Lytechinus pictus: one gene and its partners. The protein of the gene in region 1 purifies or fractionates together with the protein of each later gene. This does not show direct contact. Links are inferred from orthologs where the notes say so. Each region holds a gene or a part of one and is shown in the gene's direction. Other genes may lie near its edges.

The links.
Region 2: the proteins of exosome complex component RRP46-like (region 1) and DIS3-like exonuclease 1 purify together in Homo sapiens (affinity purification with mass spectrometry; 5 studies listed by BioGRID and IntAct, with this or other methods). This does not show direct contact. The link is inferred for Lytechinus pictus from reciprocal best matches to the Homo sapiens genes EXOSC5 and DIS3L.
Region 3: the proteins of exosome complex component RRP46-like (region 1) and nuclear nucleic acid-binding protein C1D-like purify together in Homo sapiens (affinity purification with mass spectrometry; 4 studies listed by BioGRID and IntAct, counting the BioPlex papers as one, with this or other methods). This does not show direct contact. The link is inferred for Lytechinus pictus from reciprocal best matches to the Homo sapiens genes EXOSC5 and C1D.
Region 4: the proteins of exosome complex component RRP46-like (region 1) and M-phase phosphoprotein 6-like purify together in Homo sapiens (affinity purification with mass spectrometry; 6 studies listed by BioGRID and IntAct, with this or other methods). This does not show direct contact. The link is inferred for Lytechinus pictus from reciprocal best matches to the Homo sapiens genes EXOSC5 and MPHOSPH6.

Annotation. Positions count from the first base shown.
Region 1 is NC_087251.1:26,028,466-26,036,275, forward strand, and holds the start of exosome complex component RRP46-like, read left to right. Parts: upstream 1-4,788; 5' UTR 4,789-4,832; coding exon 4,833-4,932; intron 4,933-5,562; coding exon 5,563-5,684; intron 5,685-7,810. UniProt on the Homo sapiens protein: Non-catalytic component of the RNA exosome complex which has 3'->5' exoribonuclease activity and participates in a multitude of cellular RNA processing and degradation events.
Region 2 is NC_087249.1:24,491,255-24,498,187, reverse strand, and holds the start of DIS3-like exonuclease 1, read left to right. Parts: upstream 1-3,925; 5' UTR 3,926-4,060; intron 4,061-6,933. Other genes in the region: molybdopterin synthase catalytic subunit-like, read left to right, coding at 432-500. UniProt on the Homo sapiens protein: Catalytic component of the RNA exosome complex which has 3'->5' exoribonuclease activity and participates in a multitude of cellular RNA processing and degradation events.
Region 3 is NC_087251.1:44,239,415-44,247,301, forward strand, and holds the start of nuclear nucleic acid-binding protein C1D-like, read left to right. Parts: upstream 1-4,879; 5' UTR 4,880-5,000; coding exon 5,001-5,117; intron 5,118-7,887. UniProt on the Homo sapiens protein: Plays a role in the recruitment of the RNA exosome complex to pre-rRNA to mediate the 3'-5' end processing of the 5.8S rRNA; this function may include MPHOSPH6.
Region 4 is NC_087246.1:60,406,352-60,414,129, reverse strand, and holds the start of M-phase phosphoprotein 6-like, read left to right. Parts: upstream 1-4,756; 5' UTR 4,757-4,903; coding exon 4,904-4,966; intron 4,967-7,778. Other genes in the region: deoxynucleoside triphosphate triphosphohydrolase SAMHD1-like, read left to right, coding at 260-430. UniProt on the Homo sapiens protein: RNA-binding protein that associates with the RNA exosome complex. Involved in the 3'-processing of the 7S pre-RNA to the mature 5.8S rRNA and play a role in recruiting the RNA exosome complex to pre-rRNA; this function may include C1D.

The DNA of each region.
Region 1 (7,810 bases):
CGTGTAGTTCTACAAATATCTCGGGTGAGAGGCAGTTTGGCAGAGCGGATGCAATGCTTCATAGGGCCCCTAACATTTCTGTGGTAAGGTCGAATCCAAACTGATGTTTTCATCAAATGATACAGCCTCCTGGCTACAAAAATTTCCTGTAGATGAAAGAGAAAACAAAATAATGAATGCAATGAAATTGGGAAAAAGTGAGGCTAGAGGAGCAAAAACAAAAGCAAATGGTTGTAAAGTTAGTACAGGAGAGGAACAAAATGAGAAGAAAGGAACTCACAGAAAAGGAAACAAAACAGAGAGACAAACTTGAGACTAGCTCCTTTAAAAAAAGTTCTGTATGGTGTACTATGGATCTGTAAAAATATTTCAAAATTATGTAAAGTTTCAAGGATTGAGCATGCATAGGAAATCACGTAAAGGCAAGGATATCAAGTCACGAATAAAAACAAAAAATGAGGGGGGAAAATGGGAATTACATCACCCCCCCACCCCACCTCTCTCAAAAAAAAAAAAAAAAAACGACTTTAATAACTTGTCAAAACTCTATCTAGTATCAGCTTATGTTATTATCCTTTTTGTTATTGTTAGGGATCGAGAGAAAGGATGAACGCGGGGGGGGGGGGGGGGGGGGTGCATTTTTCGGTTTCATACTTTCAAGCATCAGTGTACTGAAGGGGAAAATGTAACATAGGACTACAAAAAATTGCGGTGGACAGACAAGAAACAAGAAATGATGATTAAAATGAAAGAAAAAATTCTCGTTCTCAAAACAACTTGAAAAAAGAAAGATGCAAAACCAAATGTTATCAACTCACTTACATATTATATTTGAAATCCATCCCAATGGTCTTCCATGTCGTAATTGTGCACTGTAATTCAGATAATCTAGTTAAAACATGTGAAATTAACTTTAAGTCTCAAATCAATCGTCTTGCACACTGTGCCTTGCAAAACAACAACAAAATACTCCGATATATGCGTATCATGAACACACATGCATATTTATGAGCGCCGCGAAAATGACCATTCACAAATGATGCGCACTTACGCTTCGTCACCATGCCGCGAGAAGCGTTTATGCGCGATGTAAAATCTCCGCCCCGAATTGGCAATCCCCGAATGCGCATGCGGGGTGGTGATTGATACTCGATGGTCGACAATTCGTTCGGAATGGATAATACTTAGAAATCTTTTTTTTTTTTAATCATAACTTGAGTTATTCTTCATCATATGTCTTAATCAATGCATCATCGTAATGGGTGACACATTGTCTTTATGTTGAGGTAAGTTTCAACAGATTTGGATGAAGATTTGAATTATCAGTGGCGTACCTAACACTGCTATTACTATCTTTTATCATGAAAAGATAATGTTGCTCGTTACGTAATCGTTGGGCCGATGGGCAAGCCAGACAATTAAAACCATGCGTAATCTACCTAGAGCTGAGGGCCTGTTTCATAAAGACCTGCAACTGTTGCCATTATGGCAACTACCATGGAAACCTTGATTCTGATTGGCTGCTGAGCCCTGTTACCATGGTAGTTGCCATTTATGGTTACAACAGTTGCAAGTCCAATATAAAATGGGCCCTGGACTGCTACACTACTAGAACCATCACCTGTGGTCAGAGGTAGCTTACTCAGCCCAGTAGTGATGTATTCAGTATTTTTAAGGGGTTAGCTCATCTGCTGAAGGTTAATATTTTAGGGAATTTTTCCATGTCAGGAAAACTTGTGAAAAGTTTGTACTTGGTTATTTGCTATATTGTCCCTCCAAAAAAAGTAATCCAAGAGGAGTTTTTATTAGAGGTTGGTTGGAGAGAATGGTAAGTTTAGAATGAATGGTGTATTTTGGGGAAGTAGATCTCTGCGGGCTAGCCAACAGTCAGTTGTCAGAGGGGAGAGTTCATTCCATTAATGTAGAGTTCATATAAAAAGATTAATTTGCAAGGAGTCCAAAGTTGTATGTTGCTGTTGGAAATGTATTGTAGCCTACGTTCTCTTCAACCTACGGCTTGTGTGTGTGATGTGATCAGCTACAGCCTGGTTAAACAAATATCAACTGCAGTACTTGGTTGCACTATACAAATGGGCCTATTAGTAGGATGTAAATAAATGCACTCTCAGAGCTGTGGTGCCTTCTTCTAGTCCTTCAGAATGGCAATGAGGTTAGCACCTTTTCCACATATCCTGGATACCCATCCCCGTTTAGCTTCCAGTATTGTCTCAGATGTAGAATTAATAGCAGTTATAATAAGATTTTTTTAATGCTAAACAGATGGAAAAAAAAACAGTCAAGTGTCAACCTTATTTTGAGTGTAAGGGTTCCATGGTGCTTTACAATGGACAAATACAGTTCTTTAATGAACAGAGTGCACAAGTTAAAATTCCTCCTAATGAAGTTCAGGACTCTAGTTGCATCTAGATTCATTCAAAGGTTGGTGGACTTTGGGAATCTACTCTCTGATGGTTCGTTCCATGTTCGTTCAATGACTAACATTTTTTTAATGAGAAAACAGACATTTTTCAAACTGTTGATTTCAAATTTTGCCAATTCATAGTTTCATCATTCATTCATTAGCAGACTAATGCTGTCTCTGGCTCTATTTCACTTACATTTACACTGCTAAAGAAAAACCCAAACCAGCAAAAGATAACTTGTTACTTCAAGTATCTAGGGGAGTTGAGCAGCAGGTGAAAAGGGCCAGTCTTTTTATTTTGCTCCATTGACCTTTTCATGTGGACAAATGGGAGGTCCATGTTCTTAAAAAAACATTTGGGGGGAGGGGGTCACTTGTGCTAATGAAATGACTGTTGTTTGATGTTGTTTAATCCTTATTTTTGAAATCCTGTTCTGCAGGTTTTGAGTCTTTGGCAGACTTGATCTCCAGGTAATAGTCATGTGCCGGATTTACTTTAACGACCCTTGCATTAGAAATGCTACACTTGTTATTAGCATGGAATACAAAAAAAATGTATCTGCTCTTGAATTGCAAGTTGTATGAATTATCGACTGGTGTAACTTGGATGACCCAAACTTAAAGTACCTCTGTTTTCCTGGCATTTGCTCTCAGGCTGTATCAATTGGCATTCATCAGTGTTCTTAATCTGCAAGTAAAAGTCATTAGCTGGTCATACGTTAATGAGCTTCACTCACTTCGACTCTCAGCATGTTTGTATCTTATCTTGAATCGCCAATTGCCTTGATCTACAAGTAAGAGTCTTTAATATTGCATTTGCTCTCAGGCACCTCTTTATCAAATTGGGATTCATCAGTGTCCTTGATCTGCAAGAAAGAGTAATTGGCTGGTCGTACTTTAATGAGCCTAACTTTAGAAGTGCTTCTGTTGTAATCACATTGTTTAAGGGAACAATATGAAGGAGGATACTCAAAATTACTTCATATTAAGAGAGACCATTACAAAGTCTTCTCTATTGGCAGCAGGTTGAAAGGCCTGGTCTTTGTGTTATGCACTGTTGATTTGTTCTTTTGGACAATTTGGGGGTCCATGTTTGGGATTGATGAGTTTTTCTCTGAATTTTCTCCTTGTCTGCTGTTGCTGAGGTTAATCTTTGATGGATCAAAGGCAGGGCTAGATGCTGGCTCCTTGTACTTCAATTCATTTATATTTAGATATTCCAATATTAATATACAAAGATAATATGGGAAGTGCATCAAGAAGTTTGCATATATGTCAAGCAAGGTGCTGCCTTTTCAACGAAAAACAAAACAACATTACAAAACGAATTGGTTACACAGAACATACAACACATAATACACTGATTACAACAAAAAACGATTACAATGTACAATAATAGAATACTACTTTTAAATGTGTGTCCCAGTCTTGGATCCATCTTATTATGCTGGACTTGAAATGCCATTTTAAAGGATCTACAAGAGGTTCAAGATCCTTGATCTTAGGTGTTCTTGCAATGTTTGTGGTCAAAGTTGAACACTTTGACTCAAATACAGTACTCATGATCTCATAGGAAACAGATTTTAATTCTGGAATATCATTGTTTATCTGGGGAGGTTAAGCAACAGGGGCCCGTTGCAGAAAGAGTTGAATTAAACGCAACTCTAAAAATCATGTGCAACTTGATTTTCAACCAATCAACAGCGCGCATTTTGGACTTGCGATTGATTTTTTGACTTGCGTTTAAACGCAACTCTTTCTGCAACGGACCCCTGATCCTTTACTGGCTGTGGTTTGCAAAGGCTTATTTATAAGCTGATTTGATAGGGATCAGTCACACATAATTGGTTACCCTAAAGACTGGGAAAAAATACTTAGGCCCGTATTCTGAAGTTGGGTTTAACTTAGACCATGGTCTAACTCCGTGCTAAAATTATGTGAAGCCAAACATTTCAAAATTTTGTTTACAGTGAATGCTTCTCATTTTAAGTGTGCTCTTCACTAATTATCTAATGCCTTCCCAGGCAGTTAAAATGTTTTGGGAGTCAAATGAGCTGATACATTGAACCTCTACTGTTGGAGATTAAGTAACAACTGACTTTCCATAGTTAAACCACAACTTAAAACCAGAGTTTAAATTAAACCCAACTTCAGAATACGGGCCTTAGTGAACTTTTGGTTGATACAACATAGCTCTTGAGTCACAAGAAATTCAGATATCTGCTACTTCGAGTAGCAGAGCTGCCAGAGTTACAACGTCCACTTGATTTTAAAGATATCAAGAACATTTTTTGTTTTCTAGACATAATCCATATATAATTGCCAATGTGATTAGCTGTCATTTTAAGTGGCATTGAGCAAGATATTCTTTTTCCTTCGATGTTTTTGTACTGCAGGTGATACATCAGTAATGGCTGCAGTTTATGGGCCTGGGGATATCAAACCAAATAAGGCTCTCATGGACAAGGCAACAGTAACAGTTACATACAAACCAAAAGTAGGAATGGCAGGTAAAGAAATTTCTCAATCAATTTTTTTCCTTTTTTTTTTCTTTTCCAACTAATGCTTTGGTCACATTTCATTGTCAATACTTAATAAAATGTTTTACAATATTACATTCAATTTTGCGTGCATTGTAAATGAATACAGTTTTCAGCACATTTCTTCATTTTCACTGTATCTTTGTTCATTATATTTCTTTTACACATCCTAGGAGAAATGTAGTACATACTGCTATTGACTGATTAGTGGTTTCCTCATCATCTATACTTCAATCATACATTATTGTTAAGAGATCATAACATTTTTTTGGAAAGTTAAGGCTACGTGGAGATCATGTAGTGGCCTTGTATTACATATGCAGTAGGAAGGAGTAACCTGTGAAAGGGGCCTTTTTTGCACGAAGCCTGCAAGTGGACTTTCATTGCTAATCATCGCATTTCATCAAAAATCACCACCAGAAAGTTATGAAAAGCTGCATAGCTGGATTATAGCTAGATTCTGGCTAAAAGATGCAGTATAGCCTTTTGACAAGGTGCTCAATATATACTTTCAACAGACCCCAGCCATCTTATTTATAATCTCAAATACATTAATTATTACTCATCATGATCGTATGATGTGGTTTTTTTTTTCATCAGGTGTAAGAGAGAAAGCCTTGGAGAGGATGATCAGGAATACCTGTGAGACGGTCCTCTTGACCACACTCTTCCCACGTTCTTCTGTTGATATCATCATCCAGGAGATCCAAGATGCAGGGGCTGTATCCTTAAATTGACACACATGGGTCATGATCTGAACTCCAGTAGAATTTAAACTCTCATTTAACGATGGGTAGCCAATTGTGACACAAATCTCTAACAGTACAGGGTCAATTTACCAGCTCATCTCTTACTCAAATAATTGATAATTTTCTTAAAAGAATAACTGAAATAATTTCAATTACCATTAAAGAATGGGAAAAGAGCACAGTAAACAAAAGAATTGTACAATGTAAACAAATTTTGCACATTTAATTTCAAACTTGACTTAAGAATACAGAACATTGTGCACTATACAAATACCCTATTATTGTTATTTTAAGGTAATGTGTTTTTTAAACACATGTGGACAAGGCTACCTTTCTAGTGGCTTTAATTGCATGAACATAGAACTTGAAAACAAGGTTCCTGTAATGCTTCCAAGATTGGTCCATCTGTTCATTACTAGCCTGCTTTCCATCTATTTTGCAGGATCACAATGATTTTTATAAACTTTTTGGATAATAGATTATTTGAAACCGTATTCAATTGGATCAGATTAATTGGTATTTCATTTCTTCACAACATACATTTCTTTAAATTTGCTTTTGATTTAATCTCCACAAACAATGTATCTACTTTTCCTTAGGGCATTTTCATGGAAACTGACGTGACACGGCACAATTTTACACACCTTTCATTGTGTGTATCTCTAAAACAACAAATGATGGGAGTTTGCTTTTGATAGAGTTAATAAAGTGAACCTTGCTGTATACTTTGATACTAAGTTTTTCATTGTAACCACATTTGTAACGCATCAGCAAGCAAAAATGTGTCGGTAACTGACGTTACACAAAAAGGACATGCAATTTCAGGGTGTTCAGTAAAATTGAAAGATCTCATGTCCCTGAGTAGATAGAGTAATAATTTGAATATGTGAATATACCTTTGTTACTAGGTTAAGACGTGTCAAAATATTAAATAATTTGCTTTTGTCTTTTGGGGGCTATGATAATTTTTCCACGACCATGCTGGTAACTGACATTACACTTAATTTGCCAGGGCTTCACATGAAAGTGAGCTTGATGTGGAAGTATACGTGAGTTTCTAGGAACATTTCAATAAAAAAAACTTTTTCGTTTTCTTAATTAATTTTCTTTGATTTGAATATTTTATTATTACTTGTCGGTAACTGACATTACACATGAACATCTACCAGTGCTATATGATTTTCAAAGGCATAATTCTCTTGGTACTTATATGTAAGGCTTTTTAAAATCATAAAAGTTTCATAATACTTCACATTTTTAATTGTCAAAAGATAAGAAATGTATGTTTTACTTACTCGGGGGGGGGGGGTCATAGCAGCTACATGTATTCCTATAGTAATTCAATTTTGTATTGACTGTACACATGGATTTTTCTGACTTTACACTCATTTATATTCATCAGTTTTATATTGACTTTTTAAACCTTTTCCATCTCCAGCCTCCCCCTCCCCTCAAAAAAGGCGAAATGAATAAGGGTCTCCTATGCAGCCATGCAGTGTTATTGATTTCTATTCTGGTCAGTGCAAGCAATGCTTGTTCATATCTGTCGGATTTCATTTCTCTTCATAATTTGTTTAATCATTCTCTTTGCTAATTTCTTTTTTAAGCTGTCAACAAAAAATAAACTCCAGCTTCTAAACTGAAACTGAACTATTTGTAAATTAGAAAAAAAAAACACAGTTTTAGTAGATCCATGCAACATTAATCAGAACTGTCAAATTTCACTTTTCAGCTATACTTGTAAACCAAAAACAAAAATTGTATCACACATCCACACTACTAACAGGTATAAAAACCAGGAATTTACTTTTAGCCCGGCAATGCTCAAAAGAATCCTAGAAACTAATAAACGGGCCCTGGAAACCCCCATTCATAAAAGCTTATCAAATGTTGCAGATTTAGGTAATAGGTTGGGAAAAGTACCCCCTCCCCCGAAAAACGAAGAAAAAAAATTGTCTGATACAAACAATTAGGTACTTGGTAAGTGCATGTACATACGCAAAACAATTTCATAGTAATTTTTTTTTGCACGATGGGAATGCAACTTCCTTCATAATTTTATATAGTATTCCTTGTGAACTATACCTTTTAAAAGTCAA
Region 2 (6,933 bases), on another chromosome or scaffold:
TTTTTTTGTTTTGGGGTGACTGAATTGCCTTAGAATTGATGTATTACAATCCCACGCCTGCATGCATCTCTTCATGATATTACATCAGGTTGCAAGACACCCAAGTCTTACTTTGAATTGTGCAGGTAAATTTAGACTTTAGATTGTTTAAAAATTTTCACTTATATTCTTTATTATTTGTTTAAAGTCTGTAGAATATAATTTAGGATAAATTAAATTTGAGTGTTAAATTCCTTAGCTGAAAGTGACATATATAATCAGTGTATTTCATTTTCTTTCTTTTTTCCCCTCCCACTTATACTGTTTCTGTCTTTTTTTTCTTTTTCATACACCACCATGTGCTTTTATCTCTCATGTATTGTCTCTTTCACCTTTTTTCTCTTTTAATTTCCCTTGTATCTGTTTTCCCATCCTCTAATCTATTTATACAGGAAATATATGAAGAAGGAGATGGATGCTGGAAGGAAAATAAAGAGTGTCCATGGGCCAGCAAATCATGATGTAATAAAACTGTTTTATATGTATTTTTCTTTTTCTATGACGTGTATTTTTTTCTCATTCAATTCTAATTCAAAGGAAACATGTTACAACACTGGCCTGTAATTTTGATGGTTTATGGCCAGGCCACTTTTCTTCAGAACACATTTCTATATAACGCAAATGTGAAAAAGTTCAAAAGGTCACCAAAAATATCTAGGGCTAATAATAAGTGGGGCAATGAAGCCAATTAGTAGCATGCAAGATCATACCTTTAATGGCATTGGAGTAATTTTAATAATTCAAATCCTACTATTACAAAAAATATTTCAATATTACAAGGCCTGAGTCCTTTGGGGGAAATGCCTTTGCTTCCATCACATTAGGTATAATTGAAGGAAAACAAAGACCACAGACTGAATTACAGTACTCTCTTTGATAAGCAGTCTGTAGAAAACCATCACAAAGCTTAATTTTCGAAAAGTTTTCCATCCATTTTTTAAAATGTATTCAATTTGAGAAGAATTTGGATAATCATAAGTGTCTGGTGTGTCAGGATACAGAAAAGTAATGGTGGTTAACATTTTGTAATTTAATGGATACATTTGATGGGTAACACAATACAGATTATGTTTTCATGAACAGGCAAGTTTAATAGAGTCACAGCACCAAACTGTGTTTTTGATAAGTTTGGCTTTGGTTTGATCTGTTCTATTTCCTTTGACTTTTGAATTCTAGAGGGTTAATGTCGGGACTGTCTTGTGTGATCACTGTTACTAAGTTGAAGTCAGTTTTAGAGGGTGCAGATCAATCAAATTTCAAAACATTGATTGCATTTTACTTAACATTTATTTTAATGTTAGTGAATTTTCTTATGGGATCACACTCAAATAACAGGAACAGATTGACAAGTAATAACAAGTGTCATGGCCTGTGTTCACTCATATTTTTCTGGGATCAGTTTATTCATTGATAAGTGCAATAGATAGATTCACAACAGAAATGCCATATCATTCTTGCATAATCTTTTATGTGATTATATGGAGGAGATTATTGAAGTAGAATTTTTTATTTAAAAAAAAAAATAGTTTTATTATTATTTTTTTTTTATATAAAAGTCATGAGTGGGAGAGCAAAAATATATCTAATTGAGGGTTGAGAAACAGGAAGTAACTAATTTGTGTAGATTTGGTAAAAATTGATAAGCACTGCATCTAAAGATTATGAAGGGTATTATTAAAGCCTTTATTACAATGAACTTTCTGTTGCCTGTAAAGCAAAACAACACCTCACCCCATTTCAATAGCTTTGGTAGAAAAATATATACAAAGGCTTACGTAGGTAATAATAAGAAAACACAGTACATGTATTAATTGCCATTGAACTTTCCCATGTAAGCGAAAGATCATTCTTGTGAAGTGATTTGAAGTCGTGTAGATGATTATCAAATATAATTTATGATGTGACACAATGACATTTATAGTGAAGATGTGTTTGTGCCTTAAATAAGTATATTTATTGATCTACTACTTGATTATAAAATTGAGTTTTCAATGAAAATTTATGAATTTTTGTCTTCTTTGTGGATTTTTGTGATTGTGATTCTACTACCCAAGTATAAGGGACCAGGGGGCTTTTTGTAAAGCTGTTGGTAAGTTAAGAGCGACTGGTGATCCTTTTTTGTGGTAAATCAGGGAATAATTTTCCTGGTATCGCATCGCAAATTGCTTCACATTTTTGAAAGACTGCTATGCATAAAATCTTTTGTATAGCATAATTTTACATAGGACTGTACATTACTTAGTTGAGAGCTTTTCTCTTAAAACCAAAAATGCTATTCATATTTGTAAAGCAAAATTATTCCCTGTAAATGATATTCACCATTAAATGTTCGTTGGTGATTATTTAGCGCGTGAGAAAGGTTCACCAGTCGTTCTTAGAGTCACTCTTAACTTACGAACAGCTTTATGAAACGGCCCCCTGATATGTTACTTGAGATGACATGTTGCTCTTTACCAAGAAGAAATTCTGATTAAGATTTAGATGTAAACTTCAGGATATATTGGAAATGTATAACATGTCAGCCTTGTTGGGACAAAACTTTCAGACAAAGTCATTGCCTTGATCTGGCTAGTCCCAAGTCGTGAAAATGTTAAATTACTGAACAGCCTAGCTTGTATGTCAAGATGGGCTTGATAGATGTAAATGCAAAAGTCTCTACTCAGTGTCAGTTCCATTACTTGGGGATAGACCGATTCATGATAATAGAATCTTAATTAGTCTGCTGTTAAATTCTTAGTGCAATTTGACTGTGGAGTCCTTATGCATGGAGAATGGACCAATAGTGGATGAATTACTGAAAGGGGAATAAGTGGGCTTGACTTTGACAACCTCAGTGCTGCCTTGAAGATTTCCCAGACATTTAGGACTACATGTATAGTCCATTCGTTAAAAGAGAAGTTCAACATAAAAGTTTTGGATAAATAGTTGTTTATGAATTAATTTTGTGGAGTCATGCGAGTAAGGGGAGGGGATCAAGGGAGAAGGGCCCAGAAGAAGAGGCCGAGAAGATTGGAGAGCAATCATTAAGATGGAGAACAATTTTCACTCATCCTACAGTCGTTATTTATATGCCCATTTAAAAAAGATACAATACAGGACATAGAATTTTGGAAGACAAATTAGACAATCCATATTTCAGTATTTTTTTGAAGATCGTGTTTAGGGATATTTTTTTGTAGAAAACAGACCATTTGTGCCGAAGCAGGCCTAAGTGTACTATAATTTATGGTAGCATCCTTCCCTGGGCTATATCATTTTTTCAGATTGAGACATGGCGCCAAATATAGTGCTCGTCTCCCGAACTCACCCCACAAGCTACTCCCTTCACTGACTGTCAGTTTCGCCCTCCAAAATTGTATAGTTCAGTGGCTTTGAATCCAGCTATGTTGTCTCTTAAAGGAGAAGTTGACCCTGACAAATGCTTATTGTAAAAATAACTGAAAAAAAAAACATTGTGAAGGTTAGAGGAAAATTCATGAAAGATTAAAAAGTTATCAGTTCAATTTTTTATTTGTGATATTATATGGGAGCAGCTTTCCATGTATCATGAATAAAAAAAACAATGAAATGTCATTTCCTCAAAAAATTGTGAATTGTTTTTATTGTACTTTCAATATATCAACAGACAAATCACCCACTCCCGATGACCCCCCCCCCCAAAAAAAAAATGAAATTCATGCTTTTTATATTACATAACTTGTGGGGCAGCTGCTCATATATGACGTCATAAATAAAAAAATGAAATTCTAATAACCATCTAAATCTTTGATGGATTTTTCTCTAACCTTCACGATTGTGTTTTTATTATTATTATGGTACTTTTTAAACAAACTTTTCTTCAGGGTGAACTTCCCATTAATTTAGCGGTACGGTCAGCCCATTTTTTCTTTAAAATTTGTAATCTTACGGACTCCATGTATTGTAAAACGGGAAAACCAACTAAGCTAACGAAAACGAGTAAAATTCAGGCAATTTCTGACCTAATGACCTCTTTCACTTGCATGATCTGATGCTGTATTTTGTGAGTATTCGAGCTGTCAAAAATATGGATTATTAGTTTTGTAAATATGGTTCCCATGATGAAATAAATGGTCTCAATGCAAGCCGCGCGCGTAGCTCAGGCTCAGCCTCGGGTCGCCGCCGCTTTGCCTATGGCTACTGGCTATACGCTAGTCCTCGATCCTAGATCCTCCAGCTCCAGCGCACACGTATGTTCACGGCCTCAACTCAGTGGAGCGCGCCATTGAAAGGCCTTTTCGCCTAGCAATATTGTTAGCGACGTTTGTAAGCATCACTTTGCTCACTCTCCAAAATGTCTGCGACATTAAAATTCTAAAAACAATGGATTTATTGAATTTTAGTGAGGCTATGAATGTTTATCATTTACATTGACTATCACTTATCAGTGTAACAACATATACCGAATTTACAAGCAAGTGTGGGTAAGACTAGCCTGGAGGCGTCTGGGGAGTGAAAGACATATACTGTACGTATGGTCCCTCCCCTAACGCCTGGGAGCCTAAGCTATATTCCCACACGCACGGGTACAAAACCTGAAACTTTCGCCCCCGAGATTTCTACTTTCCCTCTAAAAGATCTAGCCCTAAAACATGTACATGGAGTTAAACTCCATTCCCAACATTTCTGCGATATTGATTACATTTTTAAAGAAGAATTCATGAAAAAAAACGAGGAAAATGTTATGAAAAGATGAGAGAGCTTACGGCCGTGTTTACGTCGCCATCTTGATTTCTTTGTCTTCCGCTTGGCGACAGCACGCAATCGCGTGCTGATTGCGTGCTGTCGCCAAGCGGAAGACAAAGAAATCAAGATGGCGACGTAAACACGGCCGTAAGCTCTCTCATCTTTTCATAACATTTTCCTCGTTTTTTTTCATGAATTCTTCTTTAAAAATGTAATCAATATCGCAGAAATGTTGGGAATGGAGTTTAACTCCATGTACATGTTTTAGGGCTAGATCTTTTAGAGGGAAAGTAGAAATCTCGGGGGCGAAAGTTTCAGGTTTTGTACCCGTGCGTGTGGGAATATAGCTTAGGCTCCCAGGCGTTAGGGGAGGGACCATACGTACAGTATGGTGAGACTACCACATATCGACCACCTCTTTTGAAACCGACCACCTTGCGCGCGTTAAAATTATTGCGTATTACAAACGATACGCGCGGGAGAGTAGGCGCAGTGTCCATAGAAACGGTAAGAATCGATTTTACGAGAAAAAAAGAAGCAACAAAAAGTAAAAATTTAGTAGAATTAATCAAAATTGTATTGACCAGACCCAATTCCCGCTGAAAAACCAAGAAATCCGATAGGAAACGGCTTTAGAACAAATATCCGTCGTCAATCGTCGAATCATGTGCCGGAGCTCGCAGTGGAAGTAGTGAGACGATCATTTAGCATGTTGACTTTATAGAACTGATTTGGAAGAGTAAAAATATTTCGCCACCGCGACAAGAATCGGCCGTAAACTTAGTGTATCGCGGGTGGTCGGTTTCAAAAGACGGGTGCAAATGAGCAAATGTAAAATCGTCGTATTCGTTGTTCGTCGATATATACGCGGATTGAATCGGAGTCGCCGAGCGAAACATGGGAATCTGATCTGCTCAATTTTCTGCACAAATGGGACTAAAACTGGGTAAAATTGATGAATATTTTCGCAGATACGATGCTGAGAAGATTAGGTGGTCGATAAGGGGTAGTTCCAACCATATATGTCTTTCACTCCCCAGACGCCTCCAGGCTAGGTAAGACTTTGAATTATCAGTCATTTCGATGCAATCCCAAAATTGATGAAAATATAACAGAAATTTGATATAGCATTGCAAAATCCTTATTTTCATATCCCCTTAAATTTTAATTATTTGCAAAAGCATCTTAGTACGTTTCCTAGAATTTTTCACAACTGATAACGGTGGTGGCTTATTGATTCTAGTTTTTTTAAAGAAATGGCAGGCATTTGAAATCAGGTAAATTGTTGTTATATTTTTAAAAGAAAATCGTTAGATTCGAACAACTTACTAATAGTTCTCCAAAAGAAGGGTTATATTCTATTATCTGTGTGTAAATGATACATGACGACAAATTTTACGAGTATATCATTGCATGTTGGATAACCTTTTCCACGATGAGTTTCGTAATTGAGAGAAAAATCAAGTTCATTCCTAGCACGAGAGCCGCAGAATGATAAATTTTAGCGTGCGCACACGGGCTGATCGCCGTGTCTGCGGGGACGGATATCTAGTCCCATACTGGTGTAAGGTGGTATTTTCCACGTACCTTTTCCCCTTGTAATGACCACTTCGCACTTTAATACTTAATTTTGACACTTAATCTGTGAAATTAATGGTTTAACGATTTTGGAAAATGTTCGGAATATACCTAACACATAAATGATTTCATTTTCTAGAATTATTATTTCTTTCCTGAATTACCAAAAGGCAAATTTAGGTCAAGATTGCATACTCACATTGACTGTTTAGCATAGCGCATGCATATCTATTACAATTTCTATTATGTGTGTCTATATTATATAAATTGTCCTGATGTAAATATATGTTATAAAATCATATTGGATACAAAAATCATGACGGGTGTCATGGTCTGAGTTTTCTTTGTGTATAACAAACAAAATACTGCATGATTCCAATTTTATTTGAACATGTCATCGTATGCAACGGCAATTTCAATCAGTTTATAATTTTCTTTTGCTTAGTCAGCGTTTATTTTTCAATGTGCAGAATTGGTTCGCAAGCGGTTTTTACACCAAAGAGCTTGCCAAAGAGCTCATTCCTGGCACTTCGACTAAAGATGGATATGATTATTTTGTTTCTCATGGTTATCCATTTTTAAAAACAATATTTATTTACTGCAGCCAACGAG
Region 3 (7,887 bases), about 18 Mb from region 1:
AACAGGAATTGTAATTTTAGTGTAGCATTTTTCGTTTATTATGTGGATCTTAGCAAGTGTGCTTGTGAGAGTCAGAGTAATGTGATGGTACCTGTTACATGCAAGGGGATGAGATAGGGTAAGACTGGGTTAAAGGGGCATTCTTCTTTGTGTTCTCTTACAAATTACATGTCATGTACTCACCCCGCCCTCCACCCCTTTCTTTCTCTTGGTTGGTATTTAAAACTTAAAATGCCAAGTGACTGATGGTTGATGGGTCTTTCTTTTCCATCGAATGATTTATTAAGAACTTGACTAATTATGATAATTTATGAAATCATTTATTGAAAAAGCTGAATGTTTGATTGATAATTTATTGAAAAAGGTGAATATTTGATTGATGACATTGATTGAGTTTATTTACTAACAGATTGTTGATTGAATGATTGATAGATAAAAGTTGATGATCTAATTTTCAGAATTTATTATCAAATTGACAGTCCGCTTTGCACTTAATGCGTACATGTAATAGCAATCAGTCTCAATCTCAACAGGAGGGGGGAGGGACGGACCTGTAGGAGGGAGGCTAAACGTTCTGTTGACCCTTTTCCCATCAGCTTACTTCACACACTGAAGTCATTTCTTACCCCTATTCTCCTGACTCCAATGAACACACTGCTGAGACCCACATTGTAAGTTAAAATGCTTCACTAAAGATTGCAATTCATGCTCACTCATGCATGGAATTTCAATTTGATAATTCATGAAATTTGCTCTAACAATTTAAATTGATAATGAATGACCATCAATTCATCAGAACACCCTCAAGTTTGCAAGTTCCAAGGGACTCGCCTCTCAAAAACTGAAAGAAACCGAAAGGCTAATTCCTGCCCACCCTAATTTTCATACCCTTTGTTTAAGTGGGTAGTGCTCACTCAAGCATGAATAGTTTTCCAACATTTTGGTGTCATTTAAAAGATGACTTTATCGGCTTTCCATATGTATAGGTCTTTCCCCCCAAAGTGATATACTTTTTATTTGGCAGCCATTTCAAAAGTGTATAGTTTTTTTTGGGACGCACTGTATATACAAAAATCTATATAAGATATGAATGTGCCTTCTCTATGTTATGCATTACATCTTCTGTGTATTTAGTGTCCATACTTATCAAGTTTTTGTACCAGTACTCGTATTACTGGAACAGTTGCTAAACTGAGTTTTAAAGAAATATTTAGTCAATATGAAGCTCAAGTTGAGGAAACAGATCGTCATGGAACCTGCATAAGATGAGGTATGAAGACTAAATGAAAGGAATGTCAAAAACTCTCAGTTTGATTGTTACAAAACACAGACATCTTTTTTTTACACTCTGCTTTCTTCCTCCCCCCCCCCCCTCCTTCTTTTCCTTTATTTTTCAATCAGCCTTGAATTTATATTTCATAAATAACTGGGTGCTGCAATCCCTAAAATGGTTGGTTTAGTTTAAGATATGATTTTTCAGAAAGTGATTCATTTGGATGAAATACAGGTGTATTACCCCCCCCCCCCATTAAGGTGCAAGCTTATTATTTTCATTGTTTTGTTTAAAGTTTGTAGTTTGTGTGTTGGTTATCTTGGTGTTTCAAATATAATGTATATTATTATTTATCAGTAATGTTGAATGTGAAAGAAAAAGTGCAATGAATATATTTGAAAAAAAAAACTCTAATCAATGTAATATGACTGACAGTGTATTTGTAATTCTAGTGGCTGTTTGCTAGCTGAAAAAGAAGAAATAAAGGATGTGTCAATGTCTAAGAGGATAATGAGAGAACATTTAGTATTAAATATGATTGGGAATGAATATTAGAGTGAGACTGAGATATCAAGGGAAAGAGAGAAGCACAGGGAAGGGGAGGAGAGAGGGGATTGATGGACAAGGAAAGGGGATCGAGGACAAGCAGAGAGAGAAAGACGGAGGGGCATAGGGGGCAATAATTCATGAGATTTTTGGTCAGGGGAGGGGGATGGGACTAGAGGGCCCTCTCCTATAGGCTGCTGTATCATCCTGTATGAAATTTGAAAATTGAGTGGGGGATGTCCCCCCCCCCCCCCCCATTGTCCCCTCCCCCAATCTCTCGCCAGGATACACTGCCAATGGTTTAGAATTATGGCTGTAACTGCTATAGATGAAGAGGGTCCCCTAAATAAAAGAATAAATAGTTGAATTAAAAAACAATAGAAGCCCAGGACCAAAATCCAGTTAAAACCAATTAGGGCAAAACCAATTGAAACCAGTTGGCCAACTGGTTTCAATAGGGAAATTGGAACAACTGGTTCCAATTGAAAACCAGTTGCCAATTGGTTCCAGTTAAAAACCAATTGAAAACCAGTTGCCAATTGGTTCCAGTTAAAACCAATTGGGCAACTGGAACCAGTTGGCAATTGTTGTCAATTGGTTCCAGTTGTTCCAATTTCCCTATTAAAACCAATTGAATCCAATTGGAGGCAACTGGTTTCAATTGGTTCCAGTTGAAACCAATTGGAGGCAACTGGTTTCAACTGGAACCAGTTGAAACCAATTGGTTTCCAACTGGATCCAATTGGAACTTCCAGTTGGAACGAACTTAATTAGTTACAAATTAATTAGCATTTGCAGTAACTATTTCTCATGCCAACACAGAAGCAGTGTTATACGTCTATTAATACCAATGTAAAGGGCATTGATAAAATACAGACTTTCATGTATTTATATATTTATATGGAAGATCTTCAAATATATGTACTTTTATTTGATGTAATTTGGTAACAGTTAGTGGTGTACTAATTATCCTTTAATCTGTTTTAATTATAATCTATAACATTTATGAACATGGTTTTCACTGCTAAGTATTCTAAATACTAATCTTTAAAAAGTGTGGTACTTGAAATTGTAAAGAATTAAATAGATACATTGTTAATGATGATTAATCTCATAAAACATTAATCTGTGCACACTGGCAAATAATATGCAAATTAACTGGTTTCAATTGGATCCAGTTGGGTAACTGGAAAATTTCCAATTGGAAACCAATTGGAAATAATTTCCAGTTACCCAACTGGTTCCAATTAGAATTCATTTCCAGTTACCCATCTTTCCAGTTAGAAGTCATCTCAGTTACCCAATTGGTACCAGTTAGGATTTCCAGTTACACAACTGAATGGTTCAAGTTAGGATTTCCAGTTACCCAACTGGTTCCAGTTAGAAATCATTTCCAGTTGGAAGTCATTTCCAGTTACCCAACTGGTTCCAGTTAGGATTTCCAGTTGCCCAACTGGTTCCAGTTAGAAATCATTTCCAATTGGAAGTCATTTCCAGTTACCCAACTGGTTCCAGTTAGGATTTCCAGTTGCCCAACTGGTTCCAGTTGGGATTTCCAGTTACTCAACTGGTTCCAGTAAGAAATCATTTCCAATTGGAAGTCATTTCCAGTTACCCAACTGGTTCCAGTTAGGATTTCCAGTTGCCCAACTGGTTCCAGTTGGGATTTCCAGTTACTCAACTGGTTCCAGTTAGAAATCATTTCCAGTTGGAAGTCATTTCCAGTTACCCAACTGGTTCCAGTTAGAAATCATTTCCAATTGGAAGTCATTTCCAGTTACCCAACTGGTTCCAGTTAGGATTTCCAGTTGCCCAACTGGTTCCAGTTGGGATTTCCAGTTACTCAACTGGTTCCAGTAAGAAATCATTACCAATTGGAAGTCATTTCCAGTTACCCAACTGGTTCCAGTTAGGATTTCCAGTTGCCCAACTGGTTCCAGTTGGGATTTCCAGTTACTCAACTGGTTCCAGTTAGAAATCATTCCCAATTGGAGGTCATTTCCAGTTACCCAACTGGTTCCAGTTAGGATTTCCAGTTGCCCAACTGGTTTCAATTGGTTTCAACTGGAAATTGTTAAATTCCAGTTAAAACCAATTGAAACCAGTTGAAACCAATTGAAACCAATTGAAACCAGTTGGAAATCCAACTGGTTTCAATTGGATTTTGGTCCTGGGAGGGCTTAATGTAGAGGAATTTAGGAGGATTGTGGGGGCGGGGGCTGGCCGGGAAATGGGTAAATTGAAATTAAAGGAGAATGAAACTCTTGGAGCAAGTTAGCTTTTGTGAAAGCAGAAAAATCAAAGAATAAGATCAACAAAAGTTTGAGTAAAATAGGACTAGCAATAGAAGAGTTATGAGCATTTGAATGTCGAGATCACTAATGCTATGGAGATTCTCCCATTGGCAATGCGACCAAGATCTATGATGTCACAGATGAACAACTCTCCCCTTTTGGACACTGAAAATATACCCCAAACATCTCTTTTTGCTCATTCTAATCATATGACAAACGATTCATCAATGATATAATGTTGTGAAACCTATGCACTTGTCCTCTCATATAAAGAGAACACCTTACCTTGTGATAGACTCTATAAAAGTGAGAATATAAGTGAAATAAGTACTAAAGTAATGAGGGAGTTGTACGTGTGTGACATCACAGATCTTGGTCACATTGCCAATAGGAAGATCTACATGGCATTAGTGATCTCAATATTCAAATGCTCATAACTTTCTTATTATTCATTCAATCTTCCTCAAACTTTCAACAATATGTTTCTTAGATTTTTCTCTTTGATATGGATTCAGCTGGTTTCAAGGGTTTCATTCTCCTTTAAATGTGAGCAAAGAATTCTTGAGGTGAGGAGTACCGAAAAAGGAATGTAAATTAAACATAAGATATGGCATACTTAAATGAACAATATAAGTTTATAAAAAAAAGTGAAAAAGTCGCCAGCGCGAGAGTTAGCTCATGTTTCTCATACTAGCTTTCTGATTTTAGGCCGCGTCGTCGCCGCCGCGCGCGCTGGGGTACGATCGGGTACGATGCTAGCTGGCTCAGCTCACGCTCGCGCTCCGGTGCGTACGGTATAGGTAGGTACGGTCAGAGTTCGTGCATGCGTGTCGTCAGGAACTACTTTCTGCTGTTGTGAATTGATAAATTTCATTATCTAGAAAGTCATGGCAGTTCCAAAAGAGATAGCACAGAATTTAGACGATTTCAAGGCAGCACTAAATGAAGTAGAAGATGTATTCAAACCTATAAATTCAGTCAGCTTAGCCGATATCAATGGAAAGGTAATGACTAATGTGACATTTGTGTGGTGTCCCATCTATTGTAAATGATGTTATGTAGTTCTAACAGACTTTAAGTTTAGGAAGTTTAGCTTTAACGTCCATGCGCAGTGAGTCGCCATCGGCAGTCTTCAACCTTCAATTTTGCAACCAAAAAAAAAATTCTTACCCAAATATTTGTATGAGATGAAAGTATCCACAAATCCTTTCAAATATATGATAAACTTTTCTCCTGAAATTGCTACAGTTAGGGTGTCTGAAGCCACACTGAAAAGTGTCAGCATAAAAGTTTTAAAACAGGCTAATTTAGGGGAAAATATGGCACATTTTTTGGGGGAAGTTCAGGCTACTAGAAAAATGTGATCTGAATTGATTATTAACTTGTGTTTGATATGTATGGAAAGAGAAAATTCAGGGGCTTCTTTTGACAGTAAGGACAAGTTTATATGATCATTTAAAATAAGGATTTAGAGATAAATTGCAAACCCTTATTTTTGTGTGTGTTGAGATTGCCATTTCTCCATGCGTTTTCTATGGGAGAATGAAATTTCTGTTTTGCACAATTTTTTTCACTTTGTCGCAATTTTTCATTGTGATCTGGTTTCCAAATCTTTATAAAAATCATACCATCAGATAGAGCATAAAAAATCCTATTGGACTCTTTATGGACAAGTTTTTGGCATTAATAATAAATTTATAACAGCTCTCGGAAGCTAAAAATTTGGATTTGTGTGTGTCCATTTCTTAACTACACAGTCTATGGCAGAGAAATGCTGAAAATTTACCTAATTTCATTCTTCTTTTTTGCAGCCAATAATTGGATTTTTTTCAAAAATGTTACATTTCTGTCAGTCTGAAGGTAATTTCTCTTCAAATTCACAAAGAATATGTGATATTTTCTTGAAATAAGAAAAATAATTTTTTACTCCAGACACCCTACTACAGTTTTTAGTAAGATTAAGAACATCATGAATTAAACACTTCCGGAACGGCGACACAATCAGTAGAGGCGCTGGTCAGAAAATTGGGATCGTCCCAGTTTACAGGGACTGTCTCAGTTTATAAGGATTTCTTCACACAAGAAATCTAGGAAAGTTCATTCACCTGTCAAGTGCCGACACCAATCAAGTGTGCTAGTCAATGTATTCAACATATCGGGTTTCATAACAAGATTATTGGAAGACAGTAAGTCATGAAAAATAGACGGTGAACTGGGGGTAATTGAGGTCACTGAATCTATTTTTAGCACTCTCAATTCCCGTAATTGCTGTCTTTGTCCCGTAGGGGGAGGTGAAAAAAAAACGTCCCCATAAACAAGGACAGTCTCAATTTATCAAGACATGATTTGTCTTGGTTTATGAGGATATCCTTGTTTTCTGGGACAATCCCAATTTTTGGACCAGCGCCTCTACTGACAATGATGGGTATATTTTGACTTTGAGTCGCCGATTCGAAAAATCCAATAGTCAATACATTTACTACACAGACATATCGCGCATGCGGACACACACGCACCGATCGTATGATGGGGGGGCTAAAGCTACGCACTTTGTTTTCAAACGATAAAAACTATGCCAATTTTAATATTTGATTTTGAACCATTTGTCTTTCACTAATTTGTAATTAATATTCTAATAATCCTTAACCAAGAAGAAAATATCACAGAACTCACTAATACGAAAATCCCGCCGTGTTTTCCGAACACCTCTTGATTTCGCCGCCCGATGTAGAAGGGGTCCTAAAGCTACGCACTCGATTTATCATGCAAAGAAATAGTATTTCCTGTGCCTCAATTTCTAAAATGTGTTCGTATTATTATAGGGAAATATGAAATTAAAGTGAACATAAATAACAAATTCCTACATTTGGTGGTTTTCTCTGCATTCAAGAATTTATTGCAGCCTCTGTAAAAAAATTGAATAGGATCGTTCGTCACTCTGCAGTCACTGCTTCACACACAGAGCTCGAGTGCGCATTTATTTTCCCATTGAAATTGCATGCGCAATGGAGTGGTGCATAGCTTTAGGACCCGCGCAGCTTTAGGAACCCCTACCATACACAAAAGTGCATTGACTCAGCTGTGTTGTTGAAACCTCTCCGTGGGTTGAGATATACGTTGAGTCGCCACCCCCTCTTATTTTGATAACAATTGTCACCCCCACCTTCAAAATGAAATGATCGTGAGCATTTTTTTATAATCTATATTTTGATACCAAATATTGGTAACTTGAGCGGGCAGTTTTGGAAACATCGATTGCTTAGTGTGGGCGTCTCAAATCGTCGCCCGAGAACAATGGCAGCTTAAATTCACACCGCACGAATCCAAATTTGCAAGTCTGACTTTGACTGCGCTAAACTCCTTTGTATTTTGCTGGATCTTTTAACCAAACGTTGCAGCATTTCAGGGAATTACTGAGGATTAATATCAGATGCCACAAGACACTTTTCAACATTGCAAAAGATTTCTAGAACCATTGTAGTCAGGCAGTGACAGGTGAGTGGCGCAACAGTAAAAAAATTGCACATGGCGACTCACTGCACATGGACGTTAGGTTTTTATGACCGTTGACATATTTTTAGAAGTAGAAGGTCTTACTTATACCTATAGATTTTTTTGCAATATGTTTATTCTAAATTGTCTTTTCACACAATAAAATTTGCATCAATGTTTGCCTTTTTAATCGTTATTTTCAATCTAGACTAGACCTATTTCAAGTTTTTCAACAGAATTAAGAGGCGCACAGCCAATTTGGGAGACTGTCTTCCATGACAT
Region 4 (7,778 bases), on another chromosome or scaffold:
GACTTGCTATTGATCGCAAGTTTCTTGAAACACCCCATCAGTCATACGTATCTTTGTGAAACACCCCCAGCTCGTGCTAATGGTGTAGACAGAATGATAAGGCTGCAATAGATTTGCGAAACAGCTTTTTGTGACGCGGCCATTTTGCACCCTCGAGGAATATGATTTAAAACAAGTCTCAAACTAGTATTTATAATTTCCAATTTATCATTAAAGAAATTTCATCATTTAATGGAATATGTTTTTTTTTTCAAAATAGGTTTCCTGGATCATTCCGAAGAAATTTCAGGAGCGTTACGTACGTCTCTACTGCAGGAAACCCGAACAAGCGCCCAAGGCGACGGAACGATTCAAAGATTGGTGTAAGAAGAAAAACTTCCCCAAAGTTAGGGAAACCTTGGATAAGGTCCAGTCTTACTTGGGAATATGATCACGTTGGAAAGGAACCGAGGAACTGTACTACACGAAATTATAACTACAATATGTCTCCTGTCATAGGCTTATTCCAATTATTATATGAATATATATGCTTGTGTGTTTGTATCATGATGAAAAAAATCGGAAACATGCATGTATACCAATTTCGGTTTCAAAATATTATTGTCATTTGATCTATATTCTAAAAGAATTAGGAATGATTAGAATCAAACTGTGAACATTTAATTTGTCAAAAATCATGTGATATGAAGTTTGAAAAGGGTATTGCCTATCATTCATTCATTCATTGCCCATTTTCTTTTCTCATACGTTATCAATACACTATTTCATTAAACACTCACCATAAATGTTAGTCAAATTTCAGATGATTACCCGATGGATATTTTCATGAACGGGAGGGGGGGGCAATATTAAACTATTCTCAATCTGTTACGTGTCATTTTACTTCTGATAGCCTATCACAAGTAGATCGAGGCTCTGTAATGCAAATGTTTGCAATCAATCACTAAATAATCAATCAAAATCGCTAGTGCATGCCCATTTTTCATTCTAGGAAGTAGTTGAGATAAATAGGAAGACGACATGTGGTTGTAACATATAGTAATTTCATCATCAGTACACAAAATATAAACCCCTCAAAAAAAGTTTGGAAATCTGTGTTTGGCCATCAATTTCTCCCAACTCCCAATTTAACACAATGCATATTTAACATCATTCAAAAGATCATTTAATTCTTTTTAAAATGATACCATGCTTGTTATGATCATGCCATCACGAAAAGAACAGAATTCAAAAGTGTTGGATGAGGTCTGAATTGAAAAGCTGCAAAACGAGCAAAAAAAGTTTGGAAATCTGTGTTTGGCCATTAATTTCTCCCAACTCCCAATTTTACAATGCATATTTTACATCATTCAAAAGATCATTTAATTCTCTTTAAAATGATTCCATGCTTGTTATGATCGGTCAATACACATGATACAGAACATTATTCTTTTGTCTGCGTCAATAGAGATGAAAATCCTTTCAAATCAAGCCCCTGCTTCTGTAGTGATGGTTCTGTGAGATAACATGGTTTGAGTCGTGGTTTGAAATACCCATGCATGTTTGTTTGTTATGTGTTTGCTTGTGCAGAGGTGTGTTTGATTCCATGTTAATGTTGATGTTAAGGTGCATGAAAACAATTAAACATGTTAAAAGAAACCGCTGAGAAACTCACTCATCACCACTGAAAAAAAGAACAGTGACTTTCAATATTGTGTCATTTTGCAACTTTTGAATTCTTACCTTGCCCCACATTTCAATGCATTGCAACTCCATGTGAACCATAATCATATCATGTAGGGTATCATTTTAAAGAAAATTAAATGATCTATTCATTAATATTAATTACACATTGATATTTACTAATACCGATCAAAGTCAAAAGAAACCGCTGAGAAACTCACTCATCACCACGGATAAAAGAACAGTAAAGTTCAATATTGTGTCATTTTGCAACTTTTAAATTTTGAACTTGCCCCACATTTCAAGGCACTGCACCTCCATGTGAACCATAATCATATCATGTAGGGTATCATTTTAAAGAAAATTAAATGTCCCATTCGTTGATATTAATTAAACATTGTTATTTATTAAATCCGAGGAGGGATTATCGATCAAAGTCAGATTTCCAAACTTTTTTTGAGGAGTTTAGTATTTGGTCATTTTGCCTCCGACGAAGATTCTGCTAGGATCGAAAGCTTAGGCCCGTTTTTGACTTTCGAGTTTAGTATTTATCAGTTCACCTCTTTGAATTCACGTTTTCAACAGGAGCTTTTTTATATATGATAATGCGAATGTGTCATTTAAAAGTTTTGTCATTTTTAATCAAGTATATAATGTCATTTACCCAGAGAAATGTTGTCAAGCTGAGTTAAAGTATAAGCGTGGCCGAAATTCATATAAATTTTGATGGCGTTGGACTTCTTACATGCATGATGGAGGATGATGTACAACTACATTCAACTTTATCGAATTTGCATGTTTATTTTTAGAATAAACGTGCGTTTGCGTACATTTCATTTTATATACTGTATAATCCAATTTATTCGTATTATACTCAAATTCATTCCTTAGTAGTTTTAAAATCTTTATTTATCAGGATTTATCATTGTTATGAACATTACACATGTCATGAATTTATGGCCTTTCAATCGATAGAATTTGAAAATTATATTCCGTTATGTTTATGAGTATGGTAAACGTTTATGAAAATTTGGAATATGTTTTCCTTAACAACTGCATTATCTTATTTTTTTAAAGAATGTTTAATAGATTATGGGTCTAACTTGAATATTCAGTTATAATTATGCGTTAATTTTTGCGGAATTTTGAATATGTTATAGCTGAGGCAATTTATGATATTTGATGGGTGTAGTACAGGTGTAATTTTTTTTTTATAATCGACTCTACATGGTCTAATTACTGTGGTACGTACATACATAAATTATTTCGCTACTTTTGTTAGAATATGGTACATTTTCATGCAGTATAATGTTATTGATCAATTGATGAGTTTACACTTCCCTCAATATGAAAAGAAAATATGTTTAGTAAGGTACCATCAAGATCATGTTGCATAGTGTATAACAGTAAAATCATGATAATAGAGAATTTATATCGTTGATTTTATCAGAAAAGAGTGCATTTTCAAGTAATATCATGTCATTATAAATCCAGGGGTACGAGGGGGCCAGTCATCATCCATTAGGGCAAGTCCCCTCTCCCGACCCGAAAAAAGGAAGTTTGGATTTCGTAGAATGGGTTCGACTCTGCAAAATAGATAGTTCGCTAATAGCTCGCCGTAAAACATGTAAATTCCGGCTGATGGCAGGCCGCATTCACTTATTGATGTCGATTATCTTGTTAACATTTTGGGGTTACAGAATGCCCGACAATTAAAATCATTGCAAAAAAGTTGTACATTTTAAAATTTACCTGTTGTGGTAAAGAGGTGAATCATGGGGGAAGATGGTATGTGTGTGCATGTAATTGTGAATGCGTGCATGATCGCTGTATCCCCCCCCCCAAAAAAAAAAAAAAAAAAATAATAATAATAATAAATAAAAATAAATAAAATTGATAAATAAGTAAGTAAATGAGTTAATTAAATTAAATAAATTAAATAAAATAAGGAAGTAAAAAAAGAAAACAAAGCAAAACAATATCGAGCGACATATTTGAATGTGTGGTCATTAGCAAAACAATAAGGCGCCTATTCAACTCGATGACAGTGACCCTGCTTAATTTAACTTTAGAGACACCCCTTCCCCCGTTTTCTTTTAATAACGACACATATAATTTTTTTTTTATTTGATATTGGTATTTGGTATTATTTGTCTTTCAATTTGGAAACAAAAAGTCATGAAAATGATGAAAATTGATATAGGGATTCTCCGGGCTGAAAATAATATGATTTAAACAGATTTCTAGGCATTTCGTCATGGATTTTCAATGAGCAAATTAATGATGTCATATCCCTACTTGTTTTTTTGTATTTTATTAGATGAAATCAGGTTTATTCAATTTTTTTCTACCAAGAACTGAAAAAATTGGATTGATAACTGATTTAGTGCATGATATTGATATATTCATTGCTGCAACTTATTTCATTATAAAGGAGACACATTATTCACACATTTCATGTATGAAAAAAATTAAACAATTATGATTTCATGTTATAACGTAAGAAAAGGCAAAGTGGGGATGTGACATCATTAGTCCATCTAATGAATATTCATGATGCGTGCATATTGCTAAATTTTAAAATTCAATAACTTTGTTATTCATAATCCGATTTTGATGAAATTTTCAGCATTTTGCTTTGTAAATTTTACTCTAATTATTTAATATATAAATGTTTTCAGCCCGGAGTATCCCTTTATTAGAAGTTCAATGAACAAACGAAAATGCATGTTTAGCTTTTTTTAATTTTAATTATTATTATTATTACTTATTATTATTATTATTATCATCAGGGGCCGCGGAACGGTTTTCAAAGTGGGGGGGGGGGGGCTGAGCCAAAAGTGAGGGGGCTGACCATGCAAAAAATCACTATCATATGGTCATTTTACGTTTTTGTACACGGTTTTGGAAAAAAAGTGGGGGCCGGATTGAAGCAATCCCCCCCAGCCCCCCCCCCCCCCCCCCCGCTTCCGCGGCCACTGATAATTATTATTATTATTGTTATTAATTTTATCATTTATTATCATTTTTAAATTTGTGTTATTTTTTTTTATTTGATAATCAAAATATTATACGACTCTCATCACCCCTGGGCATGGACGTCCCTGCTAACTAAGTGCATTTTTATTTTTATTTTTTTTTCTTCTCCAGTGTCGTATTTTCCAATTCTAGTTTGCTTCATGAAAACGAATGCCTGTATGCGTGGTTTTAGAGGTAAAACAGTGTTGCTTTCCTTGTCAAAATGGCCGGAACGAGAGGGCAAAGCAAAAATATTAGACTTTCTAAGAACCTATCTCAGATGAAGGTAATAATATTTTGAGCGTATTATTTTTGTGGGATACAATGCTTTACTGTAAAATGGGTTTTATTGTGAAGATGATAGTAAAGAAATGCTGGGCGTAGTCCCATACCATATTTTCTGTGTAGGGTTGAATTTTTAAACGCAGTGAATAATTGCAGGAATATTAATTATTATTGTTCGATCTAGGCCTACTGCATTTGCATTAATACTATATAGTAGCCTAGCCCTAGGCTTAGTCCACTTATTCAATGAACAAGGTCATGATATAACGGCCTTATCCTGAAATAAGTCACCTCTTCTCGTGAGTGTCGGTGTGTGTGTGCGCTCGTTGTGTACAAAGTCAATGGGAAATGAGATCACCGCTGCTGACGAAATGAACGGCAGTGAATGGAGTGGTGACCTAAACCAGGATAATGCAAATATAACCTTGTTCTCTGTTAGTACTCCATGGCATGTGTTGCAAAATAAGGTTGGCAATGTTTGGCTTATTTTCTCTTTTTCTTTGGAACAAATGCTTGATTGTTTGACACTGTCTTGTCTTGTCTTTCCGTTAAACGGAGTTCAGTGGCCTGTTGCATGACGAGATGAGCGATACGTAGGAACGTCCTAGGACCATTCTTCCGAGATAGGAAGATTGGCGACAAATCAGCGCTTTCCGTTTCACGAAGGCAATTTTGTCTTTCAAGTCCGCGACATCGTTTGATATCGATAGTATCGGAAAAATATTTAGTCTTCATCGTCACCTGAACCTTTTATTTCGGAATGACGACTTTTCATAAAATCATATATTTCAATAAAAGGGGATCAAATAATGTTTTATTTATTACTGATTGTAGAATTGATGTATGGAGCGTACTTTATGAGGTAAAAAGAGAAAAAACTTTCAAGATTCACAAACATAACTGGATAAAATCGAAATTTTCATTATTTCCCTTATTTAGAACACGGTGTCCTTTTAGAGACACCTTTCATTGATATTTCAACGAAAGAGACCCTTGTCCGACATAAAAATTGATTTAACTAAGTAATTTCGACATTTTATTAGTTCAATATACTGATTTTTTATAGAATACATATATACAATGATAATTTTGCAAATTATGCGTTAATTGTTGAGGTTAAAAATTGGGTTTGAATGGAGTAAACAAAATCAACAGTGTCTGATTGTATGAGACTAAAAAGGAAAATATGAGAGGCTGCCTGTGAAAAATCTAATTTATTTATTTTATTTGTCAGATAAAACGCAAGAAATACAAATGTGAGTGTTTAGAGTACAAACATACCTCAATTGCATGATGAGTAACCGAAGACAAGGAAAATATGAAAATTGCTGCAAACATGTCTAAGTGGATAAAGTAGTGCTTTGCAATAACAATTAAAACATAGAAAAAGGTGTGCAATCCGCAATGGAAAAAATACTATTTACAGAAATAATGCTAAATATTACAATGATCATAAACGTTGGTCATCTTTAAAGTTGATTACTTAATTTATGGAAGCTTATATAAGAATATAAGTTTTAAGAATATAAAAAATATATATTTAACATTTCAAAGTTGAGGAGTAGAGAAGCTTTAACATTACTTAGGGGCCGAAAGGGGCCTATATGTACCCTACGATTTAAAATGCGCCTCTTCGTATGGACTTTCCAGATTTTTTTCTTTAATGAACTAGCTAGCTTATCTTCATTTGTAATAATTGTGATGGATTCGTAATATAGCTATACTCCTAATCTGTATCTTAAATTCAATTAGCTATTTTGCTACTGCAGTTTTTTTGTTTTGTTTCACTGTTTCACATCTCAAGTTAGCCCAATTAAAAATCCGACAATTAATTTTCATTGATTAATATCAATCTCAGCAAAAAAAAATAATTATAATGAAAATGAAATAAAAATAAATGAATGATTTACCATGTTTAACATTTTAGTTTTGTATCCTTTTTTTTTGCTGAACGTTATAAACACGTTTTTTACTTTACACAATTTCTTTTAAAGAAATTTGTTTTCATGTTGTTTAATTATCTATAATGAGAAAGCATGAGGGGTCAAAGAGATAGTGCCGCCCATTTCGATATTTCAAAAAAAAATTACGGTAATGGAAATGGTGTGGGGATAGGACGGAGAATAAAAGCAAACATATTTTAAAAAAATATTTGGGCCTACATTACCCCCGGACATAATGCCCGGAGAAGTTAAAATGACATCTGTTTTTGGTCGTCTTGCCGTGCAAAAAGACGACCTGAAATTGATGACAACTAGCTAGCCCCCATATAAAAAATAACTTGGCGCCATCCCAGATAAAATGCATCAGTGTGCAACCCCAAAAAATGTTTAAAGGTGATATGTCAGTGTGCATGGCTTGCCGTAAACGCATTTTCTCTCAATGCCGACGGTGGCGGGCGGTGTGCAAAGAAGATCATGCCTACGAAGGACATGTCTGGAGGTGTCTTTCCAAGGACCATTCTTCGTATCGCCCAAATCGGCTTTGTGAAACAGTTGAGCGATATCTCGTTCTTACGTAGAATGGTTCTACGAAAGACCCTTTCATGCAACAGGCCCCAGCTGAACAACCAACATAACAGAGACCGAAGCTTTTGGTCTAGAGTCCTATATGTACAGTACATGACATAGCCTGGATGGAGGCTTCTGGAGAGTAAAAGTACTAGTATTAGTTTTATTACTACTGACGTAGGCTTACTCTCCATGAAGCCTGGGTCGGCATACCATTGCTCTACATGCACCGACGAATTGGCCAAAATACTTGTTATTTTTATTTTTTAGCCTATACTTGTGTACATGGGCTACAATATTGGT